Nothobranchius furzeri: one gene and its partner. The main gene of each other region encodes a partner of the protein of the gene in region 2 in a complex. Links are inferred from orthologs where the notes say so. Each region holds a gene or a part of one and is shown on either strand. Other genes may lie near its edges.

Region 1 (8,193 bases), on a different chromosome or scaffold from region 2:
CAAGGAGCGAGTTGACGGATCAGCACGGATTGGGATAGATTGATTAATTACGCCATTATTGGATCTAGAGGGATTGATGACCAACAGAACTCTAAGGCAGAGAGGAAATTATCTTTGTCTGTACCCAAAACAATTCTTATCTGAATCTGGTGCCCTTGGAGCCTGTGAGGCTGAAGTGAAAACTCCCCCCTCAGAAGAAATGTGGAATGCTGCCGTCGCCATGGAAACTCTTTCTCCCTATACCATCCTGGGTAGGACTGTGACCGGTGAAGGCCGTGGAACCGTATCTAGGAGTCAATGTGCTCTCTAACCCATTATCTCCCTCCCCTGTCCAAACGGAGGTGTTGAGCGCTGCTCCATGCGGCTGCACGCACTGAAGTGAGGAGAGTCCCCAACCCTACCTCCCCACCTAGTGGACACTTATGTTGTGTAATGTCTGAAGTCTGTGTGCATTTCTGTCTGAGGTGTCTTTTTGCATAGCAAAGCAGCCCTCTCTGTTGAGGGTAACTCTGAAGTGCCTTTTTCACCTCCCCCAGACTCTATCCTCATATAAACCCTCTTGATCTGTAACGGTAGCGCGACTCGTGTTGCGAATGACCACAGTCACCAATTCTTGTCATTTGTCTATGTATGTATGTCTGATCTCAGAATTGTGTGTACTGAAACTCTAATTTCCCTCTGGGATTAATAAAGTATTTTTGAATTTGAACTGAATTGATTCTAAGTCATGGAAGAAGTTCATGTTGATTTAGGAAATCATTCTTGAATTTAACAACTGATCCGAGCTGGAGTGTTCCTTATGTGGAGGCCTTGAGGAAGAAAGTTATTGTTGTCACAGCCGCAGAGTCTGTGAGCTCCAGCTGGTATGAAGGCAGGCTCATTTAAAGGGAACACAAGCAGTCTTGTGTCTCCTGTTTGACCAGATGTTGAATAGACGTTGAAAGGCCATACTGTACCTAAAACTGACCATTGCTGGACGTTGCAAGAGTATTTACTTAAATGTAAAATATACTTTTGGGAAAGTTTTTTTTAACTTTTTTTTTTTTTTACAAAAATTCATTATAAAAAAACTAAAATAGCCAGAAGTTTGATTTTGCCAGCAGCGATCAACAAAAGCCTCCCATTCACAACCACTGCTGCAGACTGGTGTGTGGGCTAGCAGTCATGCTGGCAGCAGAGCCCAGACTGCAAACACCAAAACTAGCATTGATCCATAAACAACAACAGACTCCAGGTGAACGAATACCAGGAAGTGAGCGAGATGCCCTGACACGTCCCCGTGAATTTCCCAAGTTCTTCCTCTCCTCTAATTTGAATGCTAACTCATTGGCAGATGGGTCTCAGGGCTCTATCCAGCCCATCTTTCTCCTCTCCTCCATCCCCAGCTGAGCTGCTCCAGCGTTTTACCTCCAGGGAAGGCTCAGCCAGCACAGCCCCCCCGTGGCTTCAACGTGCTGGCTGCTGTGTGCAGAGGATGGGCTCCTTCCAGCTGCAGATACGCCCTGTGTTGCATATTCCTTTAGGTGCGCCTCTGTCTGTACCACACAATTACCGCCTCGCTTATGCATTCACATCACTGTCACAGCTGGAATAAACAATGCATATCTAATCATGCGTGCCATAAACTCCCCCCCCCCCCCCCACCTTGTCTGTTTGAGTTTCCAGTCTGGATGGAGGGGATGAAGAATTTATCCAGACTGTCTCAAGACTAGGATGTGAGGTCCACACTTTTAATCCCAGCATCTCCGATGCATCCGACGATCACCTTGGCAACGGTTTGGCTAGTAACCATGACAACAGAGGCGGTGTCATCCAGCACACAATGTGGCTGGAGTGGCGAGCCCCAAGGAGGCGTAAGCACAAGATGAGGGGGAACCTGGGCAGTGTCTCGCAAACACTGGCAGATATCATTGCCGCCTTGGGACACCACACTGTAAGACACACACACACACACACACACACAGTTATACACACACTCATACACACACACAGACAGGAAGAAACCCCGCCAAACAAACACACCTTAGTGTCTTTTCACCCCCAACATACCCAGAAAGCTCATTTTTCTTGGCCGTTCCCATAGTAACAGGGCTCTGCGCCATCTCTGGCTGCCATGGCAACAGTTTAGGTGAGTGAATCATACGGGGGTCCAGCTACATCCGGCTGCCACAAGAGGGAGACACATACTTGCACTTGGTGATAAAACATTTAAGATCAGGGAGTCTTGTTTTAAGATGCAGTTGAAGAATTATTCCCATAGCTAACTTATATATATATATTATTTATTTATTTTTCCCTTTAGGTTCATTTTTTTGTATGCTGACCTCTTAAGAGCTGAGTGGCGGGTTTTCCAAAACTGGATCGAAGCAGGAACTCTGGAAAACATCCATCATCTGGTTGCCATGGTGCACCTGCACTGGCCAGGGTTTGAGGTGGGAGGGGCTGATGAGGAAGTTCTCTGCTGCTGGTTCAGTGTCCTTCAGCGGATTGAAGCTTCAGGCCTCTACCTGCTTCACAGCTCTTCTGGGAAGGGTCATAGTGTCCTGAAACAGACAGAAGCAATCGCTCACAGCTCCTACACACTCAGCTGGGTCAACACCCGGCGCTGACATGGAGAGCTGTGGTGCTGGAGATGGTGCTGCACTGAAACTGGATGAGTTTGGTGGAAAGACACTAGTTTTCAGACTCACTGCTCCGCGCGATAGCTCCCTCTAGTGGACATTATAAGTGTTGCATTTTGTATTTTAGGTGTTATTTTTTTCTGTAAACGTGATTTAAAACAGAGATTATAAAGAAAGAATAAATATTGTTTGTTAAATATGTGTTGAGAGTAAATTAATAAAATAAAAAAAATCTAGACATTTTACTTTTTCCAACATGTTACTTGTAAAAAATCAAATGTGCTTTTGCTTTATCTTAATCAGTGATACTATTCACAAATCGGATTCATTTCGATAAAATAAAACATTTTCAGTCTGTTGTATGAAATAAAAAACAAATCAGAAAATACTTTGATGTATTTGTGCACATTAAAATAACCCTTCATGACTTTGTGCAATAGATATTTAAAGTACAAAGCAAAGTATTTTGAGTTGTGTGCCAATGCAAATGCACATACAAACGTTTTCATTCTCCTTTCTCTATCCTGGACAACAAATATGAAACTATTTTAATTGAAATTTACAAAAATACAACAAGAAACGCCAGAAAGTTCTTCTTAATAGATGTTTACCTACAAAAACACTTTTAAAAACATTTTAAACCAAATACATGTTGCTGTGAAGACTCTTGATCTTTAATTTAAGGTGATGTTCTGTAATATTGCATTGTTCAATAAGGAAATTGCCTTCTGCATCACTACTGTGAATGACTCAGCCTTCCACCGCTCTCATGTTGTAATTTGATGTGGGTTGCACTAACAACAAACCTGTCTGACATGATCCTGTAGGTATTTTCTGCATTATTTCTCTTCAGGTTGGGTAATGCAGCAGTTAGATTTCTCAATTCATTTTTACACTTTAGAAATACATCCATTACTTGCAATGACAGTTTAAATTCAACACAAAGGTTTACAACTAGAATGTTGATGCAATATGTGTGTTGTCTAAGTGTTAAAAGTACACACAAGAAAACAAAGCACCGTCTCATCATTAAGCACCCATAATCCTGTTGCCTAGCTGCAATGTTGCAAAGTTGAGCCTCGCGTTTTAACTTCCCTCACGCATGATTTATTATTTTCTGTTGCTTTACTTTCTTTCAGTGTGAATGGGCCGAGCCTGCTGCGCAGGATGCTTTCAACAACGCATCTCTCTCGTGTTCCTTTTAACTTTTAATGTGTTGTTCTCATTCATAGAGCACCGAGATGCCGGTCATTCCTGGGACGCGTTCCAACTCGCGGGAGCGCATGTCGGAATGCAGCCTCCGCCCCCCCTTACTAAGATTGCGGACAGATGTTTGCTCCTAGGGTGGAGCTGCGCTTTTTACGTTGACGTTTCAACATCCTGTCAGCTAAATCCTCCGACAGCCGCGTTAGCCAATCAGCTTCGAGCAACTCCACCCCTCGACCAATCAGAAGTTTGCATTTTCGGGAGCTCACGCGCTGTTTAGCTCGAGCGCTTTACTGTGCCGCTCTGGATTTTTTTAGACAATCATAACAGCAGTCAGAAAACGGGCGCTGTAGAGAGACTCTGCGGCTTCAGTTTTTTACGGTAAGTAAATAATAATCAGTTAGTGTTGTTTTTGTCAAGTTGGCGCGTAAATACGAGCCTGTTTAGCTGCTTTTTCGGTGTAGCGGACGCCCACAAGTTACTTCCTGCTCTGACGAGGCCGTGATCCCAAAGTAAACTAGCTTGTTTTAGCTAGCTAGTTTTAGCTAATGTTGTGGACATTAAAGAAAATCAACGATTTTATCGCGTTTTGATTTGTTAAGCCCGAACTTTTAATTTAGAGAACCTGATTATGTCTAAAGTAGATAAAACTAATTTATCTTAGTTTGTCCTAGAGGCAGGGAGTGAGTCACTGTCGGAACAACATGAGCTTCCCAAAACTAGCAAGTTGTTCTCCAAAAAGTGTGTAAACCTGCGCCATTTGGACACAGTCTGGCTGAAAACTAAGAGAGGAAAGTGAGGACACTTTTGACTGACACGCATAATTAAGTAGGTGACATTTATGCCATGATTCATCGCTTTCTGATGCTTCACAGTTCACATGAAACGCTTGTAATTAGGGAACCTAAATGGGTTTCAGGAAGCCCAACAAACCAGAAACTGCAGATCTCTGAGGGCCTAATGGGAGTTGCTTGTTTCATAAATGAGCTACTGCTTAGTTCTAGAGAAATAATCAGTTATATTTATCATGCTGCAAGCACTGATGTGGGGAAGCTATGAGCTGAAATAAACTCTGGTCTATTTTTACTGCTGAGATGAGCAAAGTTTTAGTTTTGCTTCTGCTTTGTTGTCTGGTTCAGTTTTATTTTTACATGTCTGTGTTTGCCATGAGCCTGACTTTAAAGTGTGTAGTTTTATTGCTGGTATAAATTCTTACCAGAACGGAACTTATGTTGCAGTAACATTTACGATATGGTGCAATGATTTTGAGATGACGTTTATTGAAAATAACCCTTCAAAAAAACTTTATTCATCTTGAATATTGTGGTAAATCCATGTTTTCCGTGCACCTTTCCTCATGTGCGATCAGCATGCTAATGTATGTCACAAACTAAGAGTTATTGCAGTCGAAGCAGTTATTCGTTAACTTTTTTTTTACTAATACTGCAATAATGCTACCATTTCAATGTATTTTGCAGCCCCTTCAGTGTTCTTAGATATACAACAAATCTCTGATTTTACTGTAGTACGTTAGAAAAAATTGGCCTTTAAATAAATTTCTGAACGTACTAATGGAACAAAAACTTTTCATTAATATATATGTTGTTTGTGTTTGGCATGTACATTTGTCTGTAGCAACCCAGAAATGAGGATGAGGAAGTGAAATAGTTCTTTTGAGCTCATATTTAGTGTCTGTTTATGTCTTTGTGTGTCCTCATTGGTGTAAGTTGCTGGAAAATCTAGATAACTAACCTTAAAAGTGCTTGAATTAAATTTTTTCAAGGCTGCCGCCTCCTGTCTTTTGAGGTTTAGATGCCTTTCATGTCTTTAAAAAAATGCACAGCTTACTGTAAAGTGACTGAACATTAAGCCAAAGAAAACTTAAAGGTGTAGTATGTAAAATATATAGTGAGAAATTACAGTGAGAAAATCCCAAAAGATCCCAAAAAGCTCCAGAGTTGTTTAAAGTGGTAGCATGAAACAAATTTGAACACAGTATATCATTTTTAGTTAATTTTTACATAATGCACCTTTTAAAGAAAAGAGGAATGACTAAATATTTATTTGCAGGTATTTAATCACCTTATCCATTTGGCTTGAATAACTCTTCCATCCCTCTTTGTCAGGGTTGGGTCTGCTGCCCGCCACAGCCCATCATGCCTTTGGTGACGAGGAATATTGAGCCGCGGCATGTGTGTCGCCAAACCCTCCCCTCCACCATCCGCAGTGAGCTGGAGTGTGTGACCAACATCAGCCTGGCCAACATCATCCGTCAGCTCGGCAGTCTCAGTGAGTGATGTGCAGTAAAACATGGCGGCTGAGCTAATACAGGGGTGGACATTAACTTCAAAACCAACCGGCCAGCCGGGCCGGTAACTCTGAATATTTACCGGCCCCGCTGGTCAGCTGCCAAAACGAGTCAAAATAACAACTGAACTGTTTTAAATGTAATAAACCTTTATTTTGTACACATTCACAAACATAATAACGTATTCAAGTTTGAATTTGTTTGTTCCCTCAACAAAACACGATTTTGTCGTCGCATACTTCCGGCATACAACGCAGTACATCACCAACTCCGCTTTGCTGTACTCGAGCCATTGGCTGTGTTCGAGATGAGCCAGTTCTGCGCAGATTAGACCAGCGGCGATCGGCGAGCAGTGCATGCCGGTTAGATTTGTGTCCGACTTGACGCCGACTTGCTCTGACGTCATGCACACGTAGGCAACGATAACCTCGTGAGATCAAGGCGACCGCAGATTTTGGAGCAAGGCGCTGCAGTTGCTCTCCCTCGGCTGCAAAACCTAGAGGATGACGGGAAACGCCTGGCTCTCACCCGATCTAAGATCTGATTGGTTCATATTTTGATCCAAACATCCGGTGGTAGAACATGAAATGTTAGTTGGTCACATGTATTCTGTAGGGCTGGGGGTAAACGATTATTTTTAAAACGATTATTCTGACGATTATTTTATCGAATAGTCGACTATTCTAATGACTATTTAGAAAATTAATCTAATGATTATTTTTCTATTGCACAATTAACAAAAACCAGAAAATCTCAAATAAATTCCTCAAAAAAATTGATAAATTCTTACTGTAAGAGAATAAACACTACAGGCCTTCCATTTTGTATAACACTGCGTTTATTGTGTTGGTTGGTTATGTTCTGGTGACGTGTAGAACTTGGGAGAGCAGGCTGCTGTCTGAGAGGTGGTAGAAGATGGAGTGTCTCCATGCTGCTTTGTTTTGGTCACTTATGTGCGTGAGGCGAGTGGTCTTACGGGTTAAACCAAACTCAGGTGATATTTTACACTAAACCGAAAACCCACAACACTCTAAATGTAATAAAAGGGAGATCTACACCACAAAAAAGATGAACTCTAAACCAAAACGTAACAGCTTATCCCAACGCAAGAAGCTGTTAGCGAAGATGCTAACAGTAGCTTTACCAACGTTAAGTTCAAGTTACCAAGTTTAAATAAACCAAAAACACCCAGCAGCAAACAGACCAGCACGGAGGAGAGACTGCTACCACCAAAACAGCTCTCCTCATGTCTGAAAGAAGCTCCTTAATGAAGGGAGAAGCGCTCCCGGTGATTTTCTACATCTGCGGTAGACACGAAGCAGCACATCTGACCCCGGAAGTTGTTGTCCGTTGCCGGGAGACGAAGGCGGGCAAAACAGGAAAATAATCTAGTAGTGGACGGACGTTGTTCCGGGTCTTTGGTATTTGGCGGAGATGTTAGTGAAGGCGGAGAAGAGGGCGAACTAGAGGAAAAACAGGCAGATTCCTCCTCTATTTACAAACTCCTGCGGATGCAACAAGTGGGCGCGGTGCGTCCACTACCAGATCTGACGTCGACAAATTTTTAGAATCGAGCCGTCGACGTCGTCGAGGCTTCGCTACAGCCCTAGTATTCTGTAAATCATGTTATGTTGATGATGACAACTATATAGGCCATGAAGAGAAATGTTTTTTGTGTTCTTTTGTCACGTTTCCTATGAGCACACTGAAGCTACAGCTGATAACCTTTACTCATTATTACAGTCAGGTCTCCAAATACAATATATGATATCCACAAGCACGTGAGGATGTGTTTCAGCTGCTAACAGGCACCAGAATTAAAATAGAAAATTGAACAAGTGTGAACGCTAACGCCATATCTTCAGCCATCGTCGCCCCCGAGCTACACATGTAGGGAAATCTGTCCGACTTAAACGCCGGCTTTCAGCCACTCCCCCTGCTGCTTACGTCTGCTCTCGTCTGTTTTCCAGGCGAGGCGCTGCTCAGCTCGAACATGGCCATTCTCTGCGCCTCCCGTCTTCTTTAAACCGCCAAGAATCATTCCACCTACGCACACGC
Region 2 (6,564 bases):
GGTTTGAATTTCCTCTTTCTCTGTCTCCGTTTTGCTCCCGCTCTGCACCCACACTTCTTGCGTTTTAGCTCATTTGGGATTTGTGGTTTCAGTTGAGGTATTATTTCAGCCTTTCCAATGTCAATCAGCTGCTCCCGATTGTAAACCAGCTTGTTGCCATGGTTATGCATCATAACAAATGCTCAAAAAGTGAAAAAAGCTAAAAAATAGCAGTAAAAATCCTCCAAGCTTCACAGAAACAGAAAAGTCAAGTGTCCAAAAATACAGTTTTTCTTGAGAAAGTAGAAGAAAAAATGCCCAAGAAAAGGCAAAACTTACATATAGTCAACAGAGCTACTCCAACATGCAGCCACCCAGAGCAGCGCAGTTCCGGAAAAAAACACTAACATATCCCCATAGATGCTGTTTATATAGATTTTGGAAAGCCAACAAAATGTGTGAAATATTTGTTTGCATGTTATTTGCCACATTTAACACAAAAGATAGAAACTGCAGTTAAAATAATTTAATCTCCGTTTACTCTTTTCTGTAGAGGGGGAACGTCTGGATGCTAAGATGAAGCGCTTAGAAGCCAAATACACGGCTCTGCACATGGTTCCTCTGATAGAGCGCCTCGGAACCCCACAGGTAGAACCAACATTATAATTCTGTCGGCAGAACCAGCATGGATGCCGTTTTTATATCATAATTTATTTTTACTAAAGCTGGATGAGTGATATGCGGATGTCCAGGTGGACTCAAGTTTGTTTTCTGCTGCTCTTTCTAGCAAATCGCCATCGCCCGTGAGGGTGACCTACTGACGAAAGAGAGGCTGTGCTGCGGCCTGTCCATGTTCGAAGTTATCCTCACACGTGTGCGGGGCTTCCTGGACGACCCGATCTGGCGCGGGCCGTTGCCCAGTAATGGCGTGATGCACGTGGACGAGTGTGTGGAGTTCCACCGTCTCTGGAGCGCCATGCAGTTTGTGTACTGCATTCCTGTGGGAGCGCATGAGTTCACTGTGGAGTGAGTGCAGCAGCTCACATTTCTAACAAAAACAACAGAACACAGACGCTGTTTCCTAATGTGTCACATTCCCTTTCTCCAGGCAGTGCTTTGGTGATGGCCTCCACTGGGCCGGCTGCATGATCATCGCTCTCCTAGGACAACAGAGACGCTTTGACATCCTGGACTTCAGCTACCACCTCCTCAAAGTGCAGAAGCATGACGGCAAAGATGAGATCATCAAGAGTGTGGTAAGTCAGAGACGAGAACTCCAACCGTTAAAATCGTTATCATATGACTGTTGCTTTGTGCTCGTATCACCACCTTCTGCTGTAGGGTTAGAGTCTTTGTAGCCCGGTGTCTCTCTGACAGTAGGAGGGAACAGAACCGCTGCAGAAGGATGCGGTCCAGTTCCGTATGGCTTCTGCAAAGATCAAGAATCTTTGAGCCCAATCAGAGCAGGTCATTCACACCTGCTGCGCCTGCGGTACGTTGCAGATTCAGGTGCAGAGCTCCGGATTGTCAGGAAGTCATAGAAATGACCTGAGCCGAACGAGAAGAGAGAGGTAGAACTGCGAGGTGCATCTGGTGACGTTAACATTGAAATATGTGTTGCATTATTTTTGCTGGCTTGAAGGGATGTAAGAAAATATCGATATAGCAATATATAGTGATTTTTTTTATTTTTTGCAATATTACATCAATATTAATAAGCTATGTATCTAACTTTTGGAAGAATTCAGTCAAACATTTGTGTATTTTCTTTGCTTTTGGGTGCAATTCAAATGCCGACCGCTAGTTGGCAGCAGTGTGCAAAGGGTTTTGTTTCCACCATTGAAATGTAAATCCCTCAATTAGGGTTCAGATACCTCACGTTAAACATGTTAAGTATCGGTTTGGACTGTTTATGGGATATTCCAACAATAAATTCAGTCAAAAAGAATTTGCTGAGAACATCTAACTGAATGTATCACGACGTATCGTCTCACCTGGATCGTGATACGTATCGTATCCCCAGAATTTCACCAATACACATTCCTATTGGCTTGCGTCTTATTATTAATGACAGGGATTTCAGTTAAGTGTATGATGGTCCACATTATTTTTACAGGTATGTCTTTTCATGTATTATGTCAAATTTCTAATCATTTGGTGCTCTTTTGGGAACAAATTTCCAGATGTTCAGCACACGAACTAGCCAGCCAATCCTATACATAAAGGGCCTGTATTTGTATAGCGCCTTCTAGGGTTCTACAACCCCCCAAGGCGCTTCACAACACAGTCATTCACACTCTGGTGGGGATTAGCTACAGTGTAGCTACAGCTGCCCTGGGGCGCACTGACAGAGGCGAGGCTGCCGAGCACAGGCGCACCGCTCCCTCCGACCACCACCAGCAGGCAAGGTGGGTTAAGTGTCTTGCCCAAGGACACAACTGCAGAATTCTCTGGACAACCTCCTCTACCTCCTGAGCTACTGCTGTCCCATATGAATATATAGTCTTGCCATGACGTATTGACAGCTCTGTCGTGGGACGGAATCTATGGTTGTCTTTGAAACTGTTGAAGACACCAATGCGTCCTTTTCTAAAGAAACTTGAGTATCTCTATCTGTCCTAGACGCAAAGAAAAGTCTAAATAGTCCAAAGTTGATGCCAAAGCTGTTTCCAACGAGCCATTGCCATCTTAGTTTCATTCAAAGTAACATCCTGCCCACCAAACCGATGGAGCACTGTGATTGGCCCACCAAACCGATAAAACGCTGTGATTGGCCCACCAAACCGATAAAACGCTGTGATTGGCCCACCAAACCGATGGAGCACTGTGATTGGCCCACCAAACCGATGGAGCACTGTGATTGGCCCACCAAACCGATGGAGCACTGTGATTGGCCCACCAAATCGATGGAGCACTGTGATTGGCCCACCAAACCGATGGAGCACTGTGATTGGCCCACCAAACCGATAAAACACTGATTGGCCCACCAAACCGATGGAGCACTGTGATTGGCCAGCCAGCAGGCTGTCCAGGACTTTGGAGGTTCCAGTGGAGAGTGGCTAGAGCGACATGCAGAGCAAAATGATTTTGCTTCAGCCACTGACGGTCTACATTTCTAGGCTGCTCATAAACTGTAGTCGGTGTGAATGGCAGTCCGTCCTGAAGCTGGACCATATCCGTTTTGTCCTCTGTAACGATGGGTTACTGACTTGATCACCACACACTAAAGCCTGCTTCATACTGCTGTTTGTGTGGGTACGGAGACACGCACCGCCATGATGCAAATGCACTGTAGCAAGCCTGCGGAGGTTGACGGAGACATGCCAGTTTTCTAATTATCTGTCAAAAGTGACTGAGACCTAAAGCCTGTGATTGGTCAGGACGCCACTTTCCTTTCAAAAAAATAGTGTATAGAAGGTGTCTAGCAGCAGACATGGAGCAGAACCAAGAACGCCTTATTTTGCATTTGTAACACTTCCCAAGCAACGGAGTCTCCATTTACCTGTAGCGGTCTTCCAGTCATTCAATACTTTTAACTCGTCGAGACTGAGAATGTATTCATAGAGCACTAAGGTTCTAATCACCCCTACCCCCTCACACTGGTCATTCACCCATTCACATGCTGGTGATGAGCTACATAGTAGCCACAGCTGCTCTGGGAGACTACCAGAAGTGAGGCTGCCTAACAGGTGCCACAGGTCCTTCCAAACACTTAAAACCAGATCTTTGGAGCACAAAACTACAAACGAGTTCATTTATTAAGTTAGGTATTTAAAATTATTTGTTTTTGCTGGAAATTCTTGGTTTGATGAGATTATTACCAAGTGAGTCAGCTCAGCTCTAGATGGTGTTTAGATATGTGGAAGCCAGTTTCACTGAGAATAACATCATTTTCCTGGTAGTTTTGGGAATATTGTTAGAAGATGTAAATTTTATTCCAATACGTTTATCATTAATCATCATCGAAGTTTGTTCATTAAGTTTTATGACAATCTCCGAATGAGATGCCCAGATTTTGACCCCTCCCCTACCCTTCTTTCCACAACGAACCTTTAATGTTGCCGTACTTCCCTGCACTCCATTGTGGACCTCGGACATGTGAGCAGACGTCTCGCGTTTCCACTGAAGACTGAGCAACACAACATCATGCATTCATGGTTTTGGTTTTCTTCTAGCCTCTGAAGAAGATGGTGGAACGAATCCGCAAATTCCAAGTCCTCAACGATGAGATCTTTGCCATCTTGAACAAGTACATGAAGTCTGGAGATGGAGAGAACATGCCGGTGGAGCACGTCAGATGCTTCCAGCCTCCGATTCACCAGTCGCTCGCCAGCAGCTGAGGTGCTGCTCAGAGCTCTTTCATGGACCAGAACGACACGCCAGCATTACCAGACCAACTACAACTCCTCGTCGTGTGTGTTAGGCTGTTAGGAGTAACGGACCATTAATGCAGTGCGTTAGGACCTTTTTTGTATTCACTTGTGCCTTAAGAGCAAAAATAGATACCGCCTCCATTGAAGAGCTATTCCTTTTCTACTTGCAGGTAGCTACAGATGACAGAGGGATGTTGGGTTCATCAGACGAGTATTTAAGGGTTTGCCGTGGTGAAATATTAAAGGGGAATTTATTTTAAGTAATTTTGTACTTTTAAACATGCATGCTAAAACATTTAAAGGAAATGTAATGATGCACAATGTTTTGTGAAGCAATTATTCACCGTGCCTTGTCTTTGTAATGTTTTAATCTTTTAATTCAATAAATACGTATCAAATCTGTTGGTTCTGGTGAAGAATTTATGTAAAAACTTCTCCCCGGGTCAGAAGGTCCCCAACTTAAGTTTCAAGTATCGTAAAAAGTCAAATCGGAGAATATTCCATTAAATTCAAAATCAGCAGGTCCTGATACAGAATATATATTAGCTTCAGATTTATAGAAAGTAAGTCAGTGCATGGAAATCATGTATGTATAACAAAACAACTCCCGTATGTACAGAGCTACAGCGGAACGGAGTCCTGTAACCGAACACGAGTCACGTTCAGAGGAAAGTAAGGCAAATTAAAACCAATACAATCGACAGGTCCGTCTACGTCCCCTCACAGTTGATTGTCTCATTGTTTATATAAACCATGTTATTACCACGGTTGAATCAAATCAAAGTTTATTACATATCTAAGGAGGACGTCATGGCTCCGTTCCTCCTTGAGACACTGTCAAAAGGCAGACTCACGTCTCTGCCCTCCATGTCCTCTGTGGACTCGTTGTGCAGCAGTTCATAGGTGCTGTGGGAGGCCATGCCGTTGACCGCTGGACACGCCCGTTCCTCTTTCCTCATGGACACGGCCAGAGAAGCCAAGCTAATGCTGACGTCTTTGAAGGCGTGCAGCAGGAAGATGCCTACAATGATCGTGAGGAAGCCGCTGAGGGTCCCGATCACGTCATCGGAGCCCATGTGCTCCCACTCCTTGAAGAGGATGGCGGAGCACGTGAGCACTGATGTGGTGAAGAACACGTAGTAGATGGGTGTCACCAGGGAGGTGTTGAATATGTCCAGAGCCTTGTTTAGGTAGTTTATCTGTGTGCTCACGCAGCCCACCAGACCAAAGACGAGGATCCAGGTCAGCGGGTTCTTCACCACACTCCTCCCAGCTATAGCATCCTTGATGGCAATCCCCAGTCCCTTAACACAGGACACGGACAGCGCCCCGATCACTGAGCAGATGGTGATGTAGACCAGGATATTGGTCTGACCGTGGCGTGGGCTGATGACAAATATGAAGATGAGGGCCACGATAACGACAAGAGTTGCAAAAACAAAAAACCCTTAGAAAAAAGAAGAAATTCAACATTTAATGACTTTAAAAATACAAGTTTATGTACAAGTATATAGTGTTATCCCTGCTTTCTGGTACTGGTGTAATCCTGATTAAGAGAAATTTTATTAATACTAATAGTTTAATACTGACTGGTTACTGCTGTGACATCAGTTCCAATAAACTCAGACTTAGGCTGTCTACTCATTCCCAACACTCCAGAGGAAACTAAATTAACACAGCAGAGCTTCTTGTCCCCTAGTCTGGATTAGATTAAAAACTCTAGATTAGTAGTTCTATAACAATAGTACCAGAGGTTTGGTCTCAGTCCTCATTCACACAAAACGTTGTGTTTCATGCATTTGACATGTTTTCTACTCAAATTAAACCAGTTTAATGAGTTTACAGAACAACAACACACACAATCTCACTATCAGACTCTGTTACAGCAGATTTTATTAAAGGACGGAAGGAAATAAAAGTCCTGATAGGAAAAACTAGATTCACCCATGAATAAACAAAATGGCTGCTGATCGCCAGTATCGAGCATAGCCGGCTAAGGAATTGGCCAAACTGAATATCAAAACTCCAGATTTTTCCCAGTTAATGAACTCATCATTGCTAAGAGCTAACATGCTAGGAATGGCAGAACTCCATGTGGAAGTTGGTACCAGCAGGTTAAAACTAAGGACCAGCATCCACCCTCAGAACAAGGACCTGTGCATCTCTAATGACCGGAGTTGGAAGAGGAGGATGTTGCATAAAGCTCTCAGTT

Evidence for each region. The genes of interacting proteins can lie anywhere in the genome.
Region 1: cyfip1 (region 2) and wasf2 share a complex: the UniProt entries of both Homo sapiens proteins name them as parts of the WAVE2 complex. The link is inferred for Nothobranchius furzeri from reciprocal best matches to the Homo sapiens genes CYFIP1 and WASF2.

The regions. Positions count from the first base shown.
Region 1 is NC_091759.1:21,186,326-21,194,518, forward strand, and holds the start of wasf2 (actin-binding protein WASF2), read left to right. Parts: upstream 1-4,085; 5' UTR 4,086-4,208; intron 4,209-5,953; 5' UTR 5,954-5,983; coding exon 5,984-6,116; intron 6,117-8,193. UniProt on the Homo sapiens protein: Downstream effector molecule involved in the transmission of signals from tyrosine kinase receptors and small GTPases to the actin cytoskeleton. Promotes formation of actin filaments. Part of the WAVE complex that regulates lamellipodia formation.
Region 2 is NC_091756.1:62,401,088-62,407,651, reverse strand, and holds the end of cyfip1 (cytoplasmic FMR1-interacting protein 1 homolog), read left to right. Parts: intron 1-532; coding exon 533-627; intron 628-766; coding exon 767-1,005; intron 1,006-1,087; coding exon 1,088-1,235; intron 1,236-4,154; coding exon 4,155-4,319; 3' UTR 4,320-4,754; downstream 4,755-6,564. Other genes in the region: magnesium transporter NIPA2, read right to left, coding at 5,141-5,799. UniProt on the Homo sapiens protein: Component of the CYFIP1-EIF4E-FMR1 complex which binds to the mRNA cap and mediates translational repression. In the CYFIP1-EIF4E-FMR1 complex this subunit is an adapter between EIF4E and FMR1.